3 linked regions of the Lonchura striata genome follow. The protein of the gene in region 2 binds, or shares a complex with, the protein of the main gene of each other region. Links are inferred from orthologs where the notes say so. Each region holds a gene or a part of one and is shown on either strand. Other genes may lie near its edges.

Evidence for each region.
Region 1: FAM8A1 (region 2) and UBE2J1 share a complex: the UniProt entries of both Homo sapiens proteins name them as parts of the HRD1 complex. The link is inferred for Lonchura striata from reciprocal best matches to the Homo sapiens genes FAM8A1 and UBE2J1.
Region 3: FAM8A1 (region 2) and HERPUD1 share a complex: the UniProt entries of both Homo sapiens proteins name them as parts of the HRD1 complex. The link is inferred for Lonchura striata from reciprocal best matches to the Homo sapiens genes FAM8A1 and HERPUD1.

What each region holds. Positions count from the first base shown.
Region 1 is NC_134605.1:78,095,134-78,098,879, reverse strand, and holds the start of UBE2J1 (ubiquitin-conjugating enzyme E2 J1), read right to left. Parts: upstream 2,981-3,746; 5' UTR 2,875-2,980; coding exon 2,844-2,874; intron 1-2,843. UniProt on the Homo sapiens protein: Catalyzes the covalent attachment of ubiquitin to other proteins. Functions in the selective degradation of misfolded membrane proteins from the endoplasmic reticulum (ERAD) and is essential for cells to recover from ER stress.
Region 2 is NC_134603.1:90,558,483-90,562,228, reverse strand, and holds the start of FAM8A1 (protein FAM8A1), read right to left. Parts: upstream 2,334-3,746; 5' UTR 2,323-2,333; coding exon 1,836-2,322; intron 1-1,835. UniProt on the Homo sapiens protein: Plays a role in the assembly of the HRD1 complex, a complex involved in the ubiquitin-proteasome-dependent process of ER-associated degradation (ERAD).
Region 3 is NC_134615.1:17,256,701-17,260,446, forward strand, and holds the start of HERPUD1 (homocysteine-responsive endoplasmic reticulum-resident ubiquitin-like domain member 1 protein), read right to left. Parts: upstream 2,807-3,746; 5' UTR 2,773-2,806; coding exon 2,641-2,772; intron 1,396-2,640; coding exon 1,318-1,395; intron 1,234-1,317; coding exon 1,159-1,233; intron 173-1,158; coding exon 51-172; intron 1-50. UniProt on the Homo sapiens protein: Component of the endoplasmic reticulum quality control (ERQC) system also called ER-associated degradation (ERAD) involved in ubiquitin-dependent degradation of misfolded endoplasmic reticulum proteins.

The DNA.
Region 1 (3,746 bases), on a different chromosome or scaffold from region 2:
AATAAAAAAGAAACTCAAGTTCATAGGCAGTGTGAGAAGACAGCACCAGGTGAATGCTCCCATGGCTCCTTGCTCTTACAGTGGGCAAGTGACAGGAGCTGCTTTGCCATCCCAGACCTGCACTGCCCATGGCCTGTACTTATGGCAAACTGAGACGGGCCAGAGCTGCACTGCCTCTCATCAACAGAGATGTGGTGTGCAGGGGAACGGCTTGCTTTGTGTTGTGGAGAGTTCCCATCTTTCAGATATGCTGGGATGAGCTCACTGGTTGTAAAAACAGGGATAATGAAGAAGATAAACACATTGCCTAGGAGCAATTTGCAGCAGGACAAAGATGTGTAGCAATACTGCTCTTCTGTGGCCTGCTTGAGAGCACACAAAGTACAGCAATGGAGAACCTAAATGATCCCCACTCACCAGTCTGGTGTAGCACATTCACAGAAGAGGGATCCAGGTGTCAACCACAGATGAACTTCAGCTCCTTCACAACTCTATAGATCTTTATTTTAAGCCAAATTCTGCTATAAAGGCACATGTTTCTTTTAACAACATTTTCCTACTTAAAATGTATTTTCATCTACACCATTACATTAAGGCAACTTATACTAAAAGGGTTAGTAGAATTTGCCCTTTTAAAATATACTGAGCAGACAAAATCACCGTTTGCAGTTTGCTCAAGTCCAAAAGCAGATTTCAGCAGTAGAAGCATCTTGTACAGGTACAAAGCCATTACTTTTTCTATTCTGTCTCAAGATAGCATGTTCCAAATCCCTAAAGCTGACCTAAAGGTTAGCATCTTGGTTCTTCCTCTATTAAAGGCAAAGCAACAACAGGCACAAGGACAGCTACTTGTTCTAAAGCCCTAGAGGGCTCAGTTACCAAAGTAATCCCTTCAGTCCACACATGACACAACCCCTTGAAATAGAAAATACAGTGGACTTCTTTTTATGTATTTTAGTGCCTTTACATTAATTGAAACCTTAATATTAGAATATTCTACAGTTCCATTGTTAACCTTCAGTCGAATGGCAAGAGTAAGATACCACCACTAAAGTGCACAGGTAACTGGAACAAGATAGGAATTTGTAAAACACACAGAAATATTAAATAATTGCATATGCTCATCTACCAGGTTAGCAACTAAAGTGCCAGACTACAAGCAGTGGCTATACATAATTACTGTCAACTCATTTTAATGTGCAACTGTAAAGAAACAATATTTATTTAAAATATTTGTTTATATTTATTCAACACCTTTTTGCCCATCTGTTCAGTGAACAACTTCACGCATATTGACTATTGAAATCAATGTTTTAAATTATTATAGAAATTTTTTAAGTTATTTATATAATTTACAAACTTTCACTAGCTATATAGAAAGAAATAGTTTAATAAATTAACATGGAACCAAACATGCTTAATTTGGAGAAATAATATTAAGCCATTGTATGAATTATTTATCTTTACCCCACAAAGTTTATTTTGCTATGGAACAGCTGGTTCCAGCTGATTTTCTGCACCAACAGGTGCTGAAAATCAATTCCAGTAAAGGTAATTTTCTCTTGAATACAGGGGGGACAAGTAATAACAAAGGGGAAGAACATTTCTAAATTAAGTCACAAATACTTCTCCTCTCCACCCAGGTCCCAGGTGCTTGTCATACAGCACACCACCACTATTTCCCATGACGTGGCAAACCGCAACCAGTGAGCATGTTTGTGTGGCCTTCTAAATTCACATATGCCACACATCCTGCATATCTCCCCAAAAAAGAGTATTCCTTTCTGACATTTTAAATGACAACAAGTTAATAATTTGCTTAGTGATCCTTCTTATCTTCCAGTTATGCAACCTGGGTGTGAGGCTAAGGGACACAATTTAACAATAGACCCATCATCCGCATGAGGTATGTTTGTAAACAAAGCATGTCACTGACATTTATAAGGTACAAGTCATCATAAGATTCAGTTTCTCCCCACCTCACATGCTGGTAACAGGACGGTATGATTAAAAAATAAAGCTACTATTCATCACAATATCATGAAGCGGATAATGCCTATTTCTCAACACCCGGCCAGGCGAAAGCAGGGGCGGGACAGCAGCCCTCACACAAAGCCTCCCAGGCCTCAGGAGCTGCGGGAGAGGCTTTGCCTCGGCAGGGTCAGCCGGGCCTCCGGCTGTGCAGGCCGCTCCCCGGGTGAAGCCCTGGCACAGCCGGTCAGAGACCGCTGCTCCGGCACAGCCACGCGGGGAGACACGGCCTGCTCGCTGCTTCCGAGGAACCAAAACCTTCCCTTCCAGCGCTGTTTTCTCCACATCTCTCGAGGCGTCTCTCTCACTTCAAGGATTCAAAAGAAAGCCCAGGACTTATAGGCATGAATTGTAACATGTCAAACCAAACATGTGAACAAACACAGACACGCAAGTACACGGAGCCTGTACAGCAACACTTCTGCAAAACAAACTGACGCCACAGGGGCCAAGTTACCCTTGGCGAGCCGTGCCCTCACACGCACCCATTCGGAGAGCAGGCGATGCCCGGGGGAACGGGGCACGGCCACCTGACTAAGCGTTCAGGGGTACGTGTCCACGAACCACCAACGCGCGTGGGCACACAGACACGTCCAGACCCGGCGGTCAGGGTGCTTCGAACCGAATTACAGCTCGGAGGGAGGTTTCAACGCCATCGCACCGCGAAGGAGAACCGAACCCGGCCGGCCTCCGCCCCGGCGCAGGAGCCCACCGCCACCGCCGCGGCCCCGGCCCTCCTCCCCGCCGCGGCCCCGGCCCCGGCGGCAGCCGCGGCGGCAGCCCCGGCCCGTAAAGGCGCGGCCGCCGCCTACCCGGGCTCTTGAGGTTGTACCGGGCCTCCATGGCAGCGCGCACCGCTCGCTCTCTCCGCGGCTCCGGCGGCGGGGGCAGGGGGCGGAGGAGGAAGGCCGGCCCCGGCCCGGCCCGGCCCGGCCCGGGACACTCCCCTGACGTGGCAGCGGCGGCGACAGCCCCGCCGTGACCGCGGGGGGAGGCGCCTGCCGCGCCGGCGCCGCCCGGACAGCGGCGGAGGGGCCGCGCTGCGGCGGCGGCCGGGCCGCGGGGGCTGCGCGAGGGAAGAGCGCCCGCAGAGGGGATGGGGCGAGGTGCCCGCGGCCTCGGTGGGTCTGAAAACTGGGGCTTGGAAAAGGGGCTCCCAGGAACCCACAGACCCGAGACACTCCACGCCCAACAGACTTCGCTGTAAGAGTTGGTAGCACCTTGGTTGTTGGTTTTCAGGATCTCGAAAGACTGAAATGGCGTCATATGTCAATGGTTATTATTTTAGGCAAGAATTATCAGCAAGAGCTTGACTTGATTGCCACCTTTGCCATACCACAGTGACAGAGAGATACTTACATCTACAACTGTATCTCTTCCACCTTGTTATAGGTGTAATACAATTGGGATGGAACTTCTAAAAGAACATATGGCTAAGAGAAAATCTCAATAGTCACCATTTCCTTTTGTTTCAGTACAAACTGAAATAAAAAACAACCTCTCTTTTCTTCAGCATAAATTTGAAGCTCATATCTAGCTCATATTGTACTTAACCTATGAAACTAATTGTTTTTAATTTCATATTTTATATTCTTCATAATCCTCCTTTACAAATTAATTTTTTTGTTTTGGTGTCTTAGTTCTCTTTTCCCCACTTTGATTGAACAGCAGTGGCAAACAGTTGTAAATAAAAACATTTGAGTAGGTACATATTT
Region 2 (3,746 bases):
CAGATTTACATTGCAGTGATTCAAGCTGTTCATCATACCAAAAATCCACTCTTTTGCCAAGGGTTACTATTTATTCAGCAAGGCCAGCCAAATGCAACATCCATCTAGTTCAATGTCTAGGATATTGCATCCACATAGTGCTTAAGAGGGGTTTGCACCAGTCAGCCACAGGGCAACTGGGGCCTGGATGCACCCTTTGCCCTACTGTTCCCAGCAGATGAGCAGTATCTCCTGCACTAAGGCAGGGAGGGACCAGGCAAGAAGTATCTTAGATCATGGTGTCTGTCCACGAAGAGCCTGCCACTGCCCAGAGTGCTGTTAAATTTTACTGCTCTGACACACACCTGCAGGCAGACTGAAGTGGCAAAGGCAGTTAACAATCCCACTTTTTGACATCCCAGTTTGAAATTTGCAACATTAGCATAAGCTGTCACTTATTTCAGTTTATGTAAGCACACGGGCTGTAAACTGCAGTGGCACAGGGACAGATACACGACCTGCCCTGCCTCGCCTTGCTGCTGTGTGGGCAGTAATCTACAGCAGAGAAGGAGCCATAATCCCTTTAGCTGTTCCAGATATATCCATCTGTAGCCAAAGCATCAGCACCACAGTCTTTGTTTATAACTGTATTGTATTACTGCATCACATACCTAGTCACCCAAGAAGGCCAAGCGTGTTGCAATAGTATGCAATATTCAGAATAACCATGTTCAGCATCATGAAATGTTATTCATGCCCTAAATAACCTTTAACATATGGAATTAGCTCCTGATAAACCAGCAAAATTCCAAGAATCATTTCAGCCTAGCCTTTGTCCAACCCTCCCTTTAATGACTGGTAATATCTGTTCATAACCAAACTATAATAGAATCAGGGCATAATTACAGAAAATACTATTTTGTCTCCTAACCATGTTTAAAAAACATCTACCTAAACTCATAAGAAAGAGGCAAGCTCAGAGGCTAGGCTCCCTTCCCTTGAAAATAAGGAAAAAGGAACAAAAAACATCTTCCACACACATATGGCCACTAGGCTTATAAATAATGTCACAGATCGTCAGTGTCGTACTTTGTCCTGCAGACAGAAACGAGCTCTGGCTTTTTTCCAAAGTCCGTCAGCAGTCCTCTCCTCCACAATTTTCTACCATTGCTCACAGTGGTACGAACATTCAAGGAATGTGACCTAGGCACTCCTCGACTTGTGAGGAGTTGTTGCTGCTCCAGGTTTTACCTCTCATGTGATCAGAGTGAGTTTGCTTTATTCCTGAAAAATATAAACAGAAGGCCTGCTGTGCACTGCCTTCAATGTTTACAGCTGTAACAGACGTTTGTTTATCTCGGGTCCCACTGCCTAAGTTTGTTCAATGTCAGCATGTTTTCACTTCTCTGCTTCGATTAGACAAAATTATTTCATTTGAGTACCAACAGCTCACTGAAACAGGCAAAGTTAGTTTAGATTTCATAACACAGACGGGCTGCTCATAAAGCTAGATGCACTACAAGCCTGTAACCAGAAGAATAATTTCCACTAGAAAAAAAAAATAAACTCCTTCCTAAGCACAAAAACATCTTTACAAGCACTGAAGCTGTAAGCTGCATATGCCAGTCAATCTCCCCAAACCTGCTTATGCATCAGGTTCTGGATTTACACCTCGGTATTAGGGCTGTCACCCTGTGTCACAAGGCACAGCCACATGCCCGGGGCCGCAGCCAACGGAAGCGCAGCCACTCCCAACGTCGCACACCCCCGGCTTCCCTCTCCAGAACCCGCTTCCCGGAGCCGCGGCTCTCATCAGGCTCCTGCTCCTCCCCAGGCCCAGCCCCGGCCCCACTCACCCGCCGGCCGCCCCGCGTCCCGGGAGGCGCCGCTGCCGCCGCTGCCGGCGGCGCTGCCGGCGGCCGCCCTGGGCAGGGGCGACACCGCGCCCGCCGCTCCCGGCCAGGCTGGGGCGGCAGCGCCGGGGCCGCGGGGTCCCGTCCCGGCGGAGGCCGCGTGTGCTGGCGGCGGAGCGAAGAGGTAGAAGGGGCTGTAATAGGCAGAGGCGGCGGGCGGGGGCGGCTGCGCGGCGGCGGCGGCGAGGAAGGCGGGCGTGCAGCCCTGCCAGCACAGGTACCCGCAGTACGAGTCCCACAGCCACTGGTGTACGCGCCGCGCGTACTCCGCCGCGCTCAGTGGCTTCGTCCCGCCCCCCTCCGGAGGGGAGCACGGCGGTGGCGAGGACGCGGCGTTGGCGGTGGCTGCCTCCTCTCCGGCGGCGCTGCCTCCCTCCGCCATCGCCGCCGCCCCAGCGCCAGCCCGGCCGCGCTCCGCCGCCTCCTCCATCGCGGCGGTCACTGAGCCTTCACCGCGCGTGCGTCGGGACGCGCCTCGCCTCTCCCACTTATCGCGGCTGAGTGGGGGGGAAGAGCCTGACGAGGCGAGCCCCGCGCCCGGGGAGAAACAGCACAACCCACAGCTTCCCCCCCGCCCCCGCCACGAGATGGTAGCGCCGAACGCTGAGGCAGCGGCCGCTGCCCCGGCGCGCGGACGGGGCGGTTGCCGGAGCGCCTCACGGTGCGCGTTCTGCGGTTTTATTTTCTTGTATTGGTCTCGTGGGTTTTTTTCTTCCTCTATCTCCCCCTTTTCATCTTTTCCCCTATCACATATCGTGTTCGTCCTCTGAAAAAAAGGAAAAAAACCTACCCAAAACAAAAACAAGCACTCACAAACAAAACCAAAACAGACAAACCCCCCACAATCCACAGAGTAATTTTGGTTGGAAAAGACCTCTGTCATCGAGTCCAGCCTGTGACTGAACATCGCCGTGTCAACTAGACCAGGGCACTGAGTGCCACCCCCAGGCACGGTGACCCCACCACCTCCCTGGGCGGCTCATTCCAATGTCTAATCACCTTTTCTGCGAATAAATTCTTCCTAATGTCCAGCCTGAAACTCTCCGGAGCAGAGGCCGACCCCCACCTGGCTACAGCCTCCTTCAGGGAGTTATGGAGAGCGGTAAGGTCACCCTTGAGCCTCCTCCACGCTAAACACCCTCAGCTCCCTCAGCCGCTCCTCAGAGCACTTGATCCCCTCAAATGCTGAATAAAGAGCCAGCAGCAAGGTTAAACACAGTTCTTCTAACTAACTTCCAGTCTTTAAGGTTTCTGTGTTCTGTTAAGCATCTCAACCAGACCAAGAGTTCTGTCTGAACAGAGGTGTTAACACAGGTCAATACTGAATTAACAAGTAATACATATTGTGAACCTGGAATGTTTCCCGTGTTGAAGACAACGCCACAGCTGAACAAAACCAGAAGTTTCTCCCTCTCCCTGGTGAACTATTTTCCCACTTAACCTCACCTAATTTTAAAAAATGAAGTAATTTCATAAAATCATAGACTCATAGAATGGCCTGGTTTGGAATGAACCTTAAAGATCCCTGCCCCATGGGCAGGGACAGCTTCCACTAGGCTATGTGGCTCCAAACCCCATCCAACCTGGCCTTGAACATTTCCAGGGGTGGGGCATCCACAGCTTCTGTGGCAGACTGTTCCACTGCCTCACCACCCTCACAGTAAAGATTTTTTCCTGTGTATCTAACAGAAATTTCCACTCTTTCTGTCCCAGAAGTTTGTGTGGAGTGAGTCTCTAATACAAGCAAGCTGAGATGAATTGCCTAAGTGATGATCAAATAGTGACCCGTACAATATAATGCAGTTATGTAAGGTGCTGGCACTCATTACAGTTTTAATTACACTGGTATGTTTT
Region 3 (3,746 bases), on a different chromosome or scaffold from region 2:
ACACAGACATATCATCTTAATCTCAAAGGTGTACATAAAATTGTATTTACCCATTACTGGCTTCTGCTGAAGAGTGGACACCTGAAGAGCTCCTCAACCTTCCACCATTTGAGGAAGACACATTGGATTCCTGCCTGGCTTCTGATGATAACGTGGGCTGATCAGCTTTAACCTACAGACAGCAGGGCAGCCAGTGAGGTTTACTCAGGACAGCACACACACTTTATGCAAAAAGTCTGCACCCCACAAAGTATGCCCTTGTTTTAACACCTATTCCTGCACAGCACCTCTCAGTGCCACACCACAAGCACCTCCATCAGTATTTTAAACCTCCTGGAACCAAATGACTGGGAGGCAAAACTGATTTGATGCTACTCTTCCCTTTCACAATAGCCACACTGAATTTATTACTTCTTATGCACACATTCAGTGTCCATATGGCTATAAAGATATAAAACACAAAAGACACTTTGGCTTTTTCCAATGGCAAATTTGTACTTGCACAAACTGCTGCACACAGTTCAACAGCTGTGCTGTGGTGATATATGTGACACCCAGCCAAAGCTGGCTCACATCTAGCATGGGTAGGGTTAGCTCAGAGTGCCTTTGATGGGCAACAGGAACACACACCTCTAGAAACATTTGCCTAGGCCCTTTAAAGAAAGGATGGATTTTGACCATTTTTACTTGAGACCAGTCCACACTGAGCTCAAGCACCAAGGCTGAGCCTGTAGAGAGGAAGCCAAAGATGAGTCATTAATGAGAGCAGTTAAAGTGTCTGCAGTTCTCAGCCTTCTTCCCTCTCCACACAGATCAGAACCACTTCCCTCCACAAGCTCAGTCTGTCCAAGCATGCCTGGGACATAGCAAGTCAATCTATTTAATAAAACTGAATCTGCCAGAAAGCATTTCTCCCCTGAGCAGCACATCACAACTAGATCTTTCTCAACAGATACCATAAGAATCTTTACTGATTAACTGTAGAGGCAATTTTTTTACTCAGCGTAATCCAAATACATTCTCACACTCCCAAACATAACATGCTGCTGTTGCACTAAAAGGGAAAACCTGCAGTAAAAGGGAACTTAAAATGGTCATCCAAGACTTCTCGTTTTCAGTTCCAAGCCCAAGATTCAGAGTTAACTTAAGTTTAATTACCTCTGATTTGGTTCCTTGCATATTTCCAGGAGTCTTGAGGTTGTATACCAAGTGAAAAGCATGCACCTCCCCATGCTGAAATTTAAGGGAAGATCTGTTAAAAAAAAATCCATTCTGTGGATATATTTCAGCACATCATAAAAGAGACTTTTTTTATACCTTTGGCAACAATTCTCCCAGACAGTGGTGATCAAGCAGCAGCTTCCCAGAATAAATCAGCTTTTGGTCCTCTTCAGGCTTTGAAGAAAACAAGGAATAGGATTACTTGCTCTGCCAAGCATTAACACAGCTTACAGCTGGTGGAGCTTGCAGCATCCCACATATTAAACTGCACATCTAAATTCAGCTGAAGTTATGAGAACAACTGAATGCCGAGTGGGATAATATCAAGGTGCAAACCTGTATAAGAATCCAAAGTCCCTTGGGCAAAGAATTTAATTAGGTGCTGTATCTTTTACAGAACCAACAAAACCATTTGTATTTCTTAAAAACAGAAGTTCGGAGTTCTACCTAACCTGATCAGCACCAGAGGTGGTGGTGTCAAGTAAATCTATTACACCTCACCCAATGGGACCCAGCAGCTCTTCACTGGGATCTGTCCCACAGCAGCTGGAGAAGCACCTGGAGCCTGTTTCTGGCTAATCACCACACTCCCAGGGAAAGCATGGCAAAGGCATGGGAATCGGGCAATCTTCCAAGCAACTAGTGACAGAACAAGCCTTAAGTTTGGAGGGCAGTCTCCAGTTGGAGAAATGTTACGAAAAATTTCTTCACGGAAGGAATGGCTAAGCACTGAAATGGAGGCAGCATCCCTGGCACTCTTGAAAAAACGAGTACAACCACGGCATGTCAGTGTGGCTTAGCAGGCATAGTTGCATTGGGTCGAAGGTTGAACTTGGAGGTCTTTCCCACGTTTATTGGCGCTGTGAAGGCCACAGAGCCTCCCGCGGGAGCGGCGGGACACGGAGCGCAGCGATTGCAGCAGCTCACGCGTCCATCGCGTGTGCTCGGGGGAAGGCAACACTTCTGCATTCCAGCCCCACGCAGCGCCGCGCCTCCCGCTCGCAGCGGGACCGGGACCGCAAAGCCCCGCCAGGCCCCGGCCGGGCGCGGTGCCCGGGGGCAGCGGGCTCCGGCCCGCACAGCTGCGGGACGCGCCGGCCGGGCGGGCAATGATTAACCACAGCCGGGCCACGAACAGCCCCAGAACAGCCCAAGCGCGCCTCAAGCGCGGCTGACGCAACCGGGACAGCCCGGGGAGCAGGCACGGCCCCGGGGCAGCCCCCGGGGAGCAGGCACGGCCCCGGGGCAGCCCCCGGGGAGCAGGCACGGCCCCGGGGCAGCCCCCAGGGAGCAGGCGCCGGCCCCAGGGCAATCCCACGGCAGCCGCCGCCCTACCCTGCAGGGAGCCAGGCAGCCCCCACCGCCCACCCACCCAGGCAGCGCCCATGGAGCCCCCGGAAGAGTGGACTGCGCACTCACCGGCGCGTCGGGCAGGAGGCGGCGCAGCTCGGTCTTGAGGCGGCGCACGGTCCAGGCGGGCTGGGCGCTGAGGCGGAGGTCGCGGTGTCGCTGCGCGGGGCTCCGCACCAGCAGCGCCAGCGGCTCCTCCATGGCGGGCGCGGGGCGGGTGGAGGTTGCAAAACCTCCCCCGTCAGAGCTTTATAGGGGCCCGCCCCGCCGCAGGGCCGCGGTGGCTGCGGCTGATTGGCGGCGATGAGGAAAGGGGCGGGGCTGCCACGTGGGCCAATGGGACGGAGCCTCGCGTGCACGCCGTGAGGAAACGGAGGCGCTGATTGGGTGGTGCCGGTGGGGGGCGGAGCTATGCGGTCACCACGGTGACCGTGGACCCGCCCCGCCCGTCCCTGAGGGGCCGTGGCCGCGCCGGTGCCGCCGCGCTCCGTCGTTCCCTCCTCACCTCCCTCCACCGCATCACCTCCGGCACCAACACCGCTCTCAGCGACCCTTGCTTCGCCTTCCCTCTCCCCTCGCCCCCTGGAGCAGCACAGCTCTGTGGAGCTCTGCACGTGCTGCATGCACAGCCTGATTCAAGTGAAACATCCCCTTTTTCCCTATGGTTATTTTACCCGATCTGTGTGAGCTACCTCAGCCGGTTTGCTGTGGGCTTTGTGTGGGTACAGGACTTTGTGGGTGGAACCAAAAGAAGTGTGCAGAGATGCTGGGGAAAATTAATAATTCATTACATTTTTACTAACAAAAAAAAAAAAAAAAAAAAAAAAGCCGTAAAAATGTGGACCAGCAGCTTCTGGATGCTCCTCCTCTTGCCCATCTTCCTGTGAGATGCGCTGCAGCACGTTAAAAGCCCGTGGTAATGATCCTGGTGCGCCAGGAGGGGGTTTTCGCGTCCTTCCGAACGAAGCTGTAGGAAGGTGAGACGTCGGGTTTATCTCGGCACCAGGCATTTACTCTGCGTGTTTCAGGAGCTGCTCATAGTGTTCCTTGGCAGCCAGACCTGTTGCCCAAAGGCACGGATGAGTCTGCAGCCAAGACTGGATTTTGCAACTAGGAAAGCCGCTCTGCCATCGCCCCGCGGCTGCCCGGGGCAGAGCCGAGCCCAAGGGCAGCGC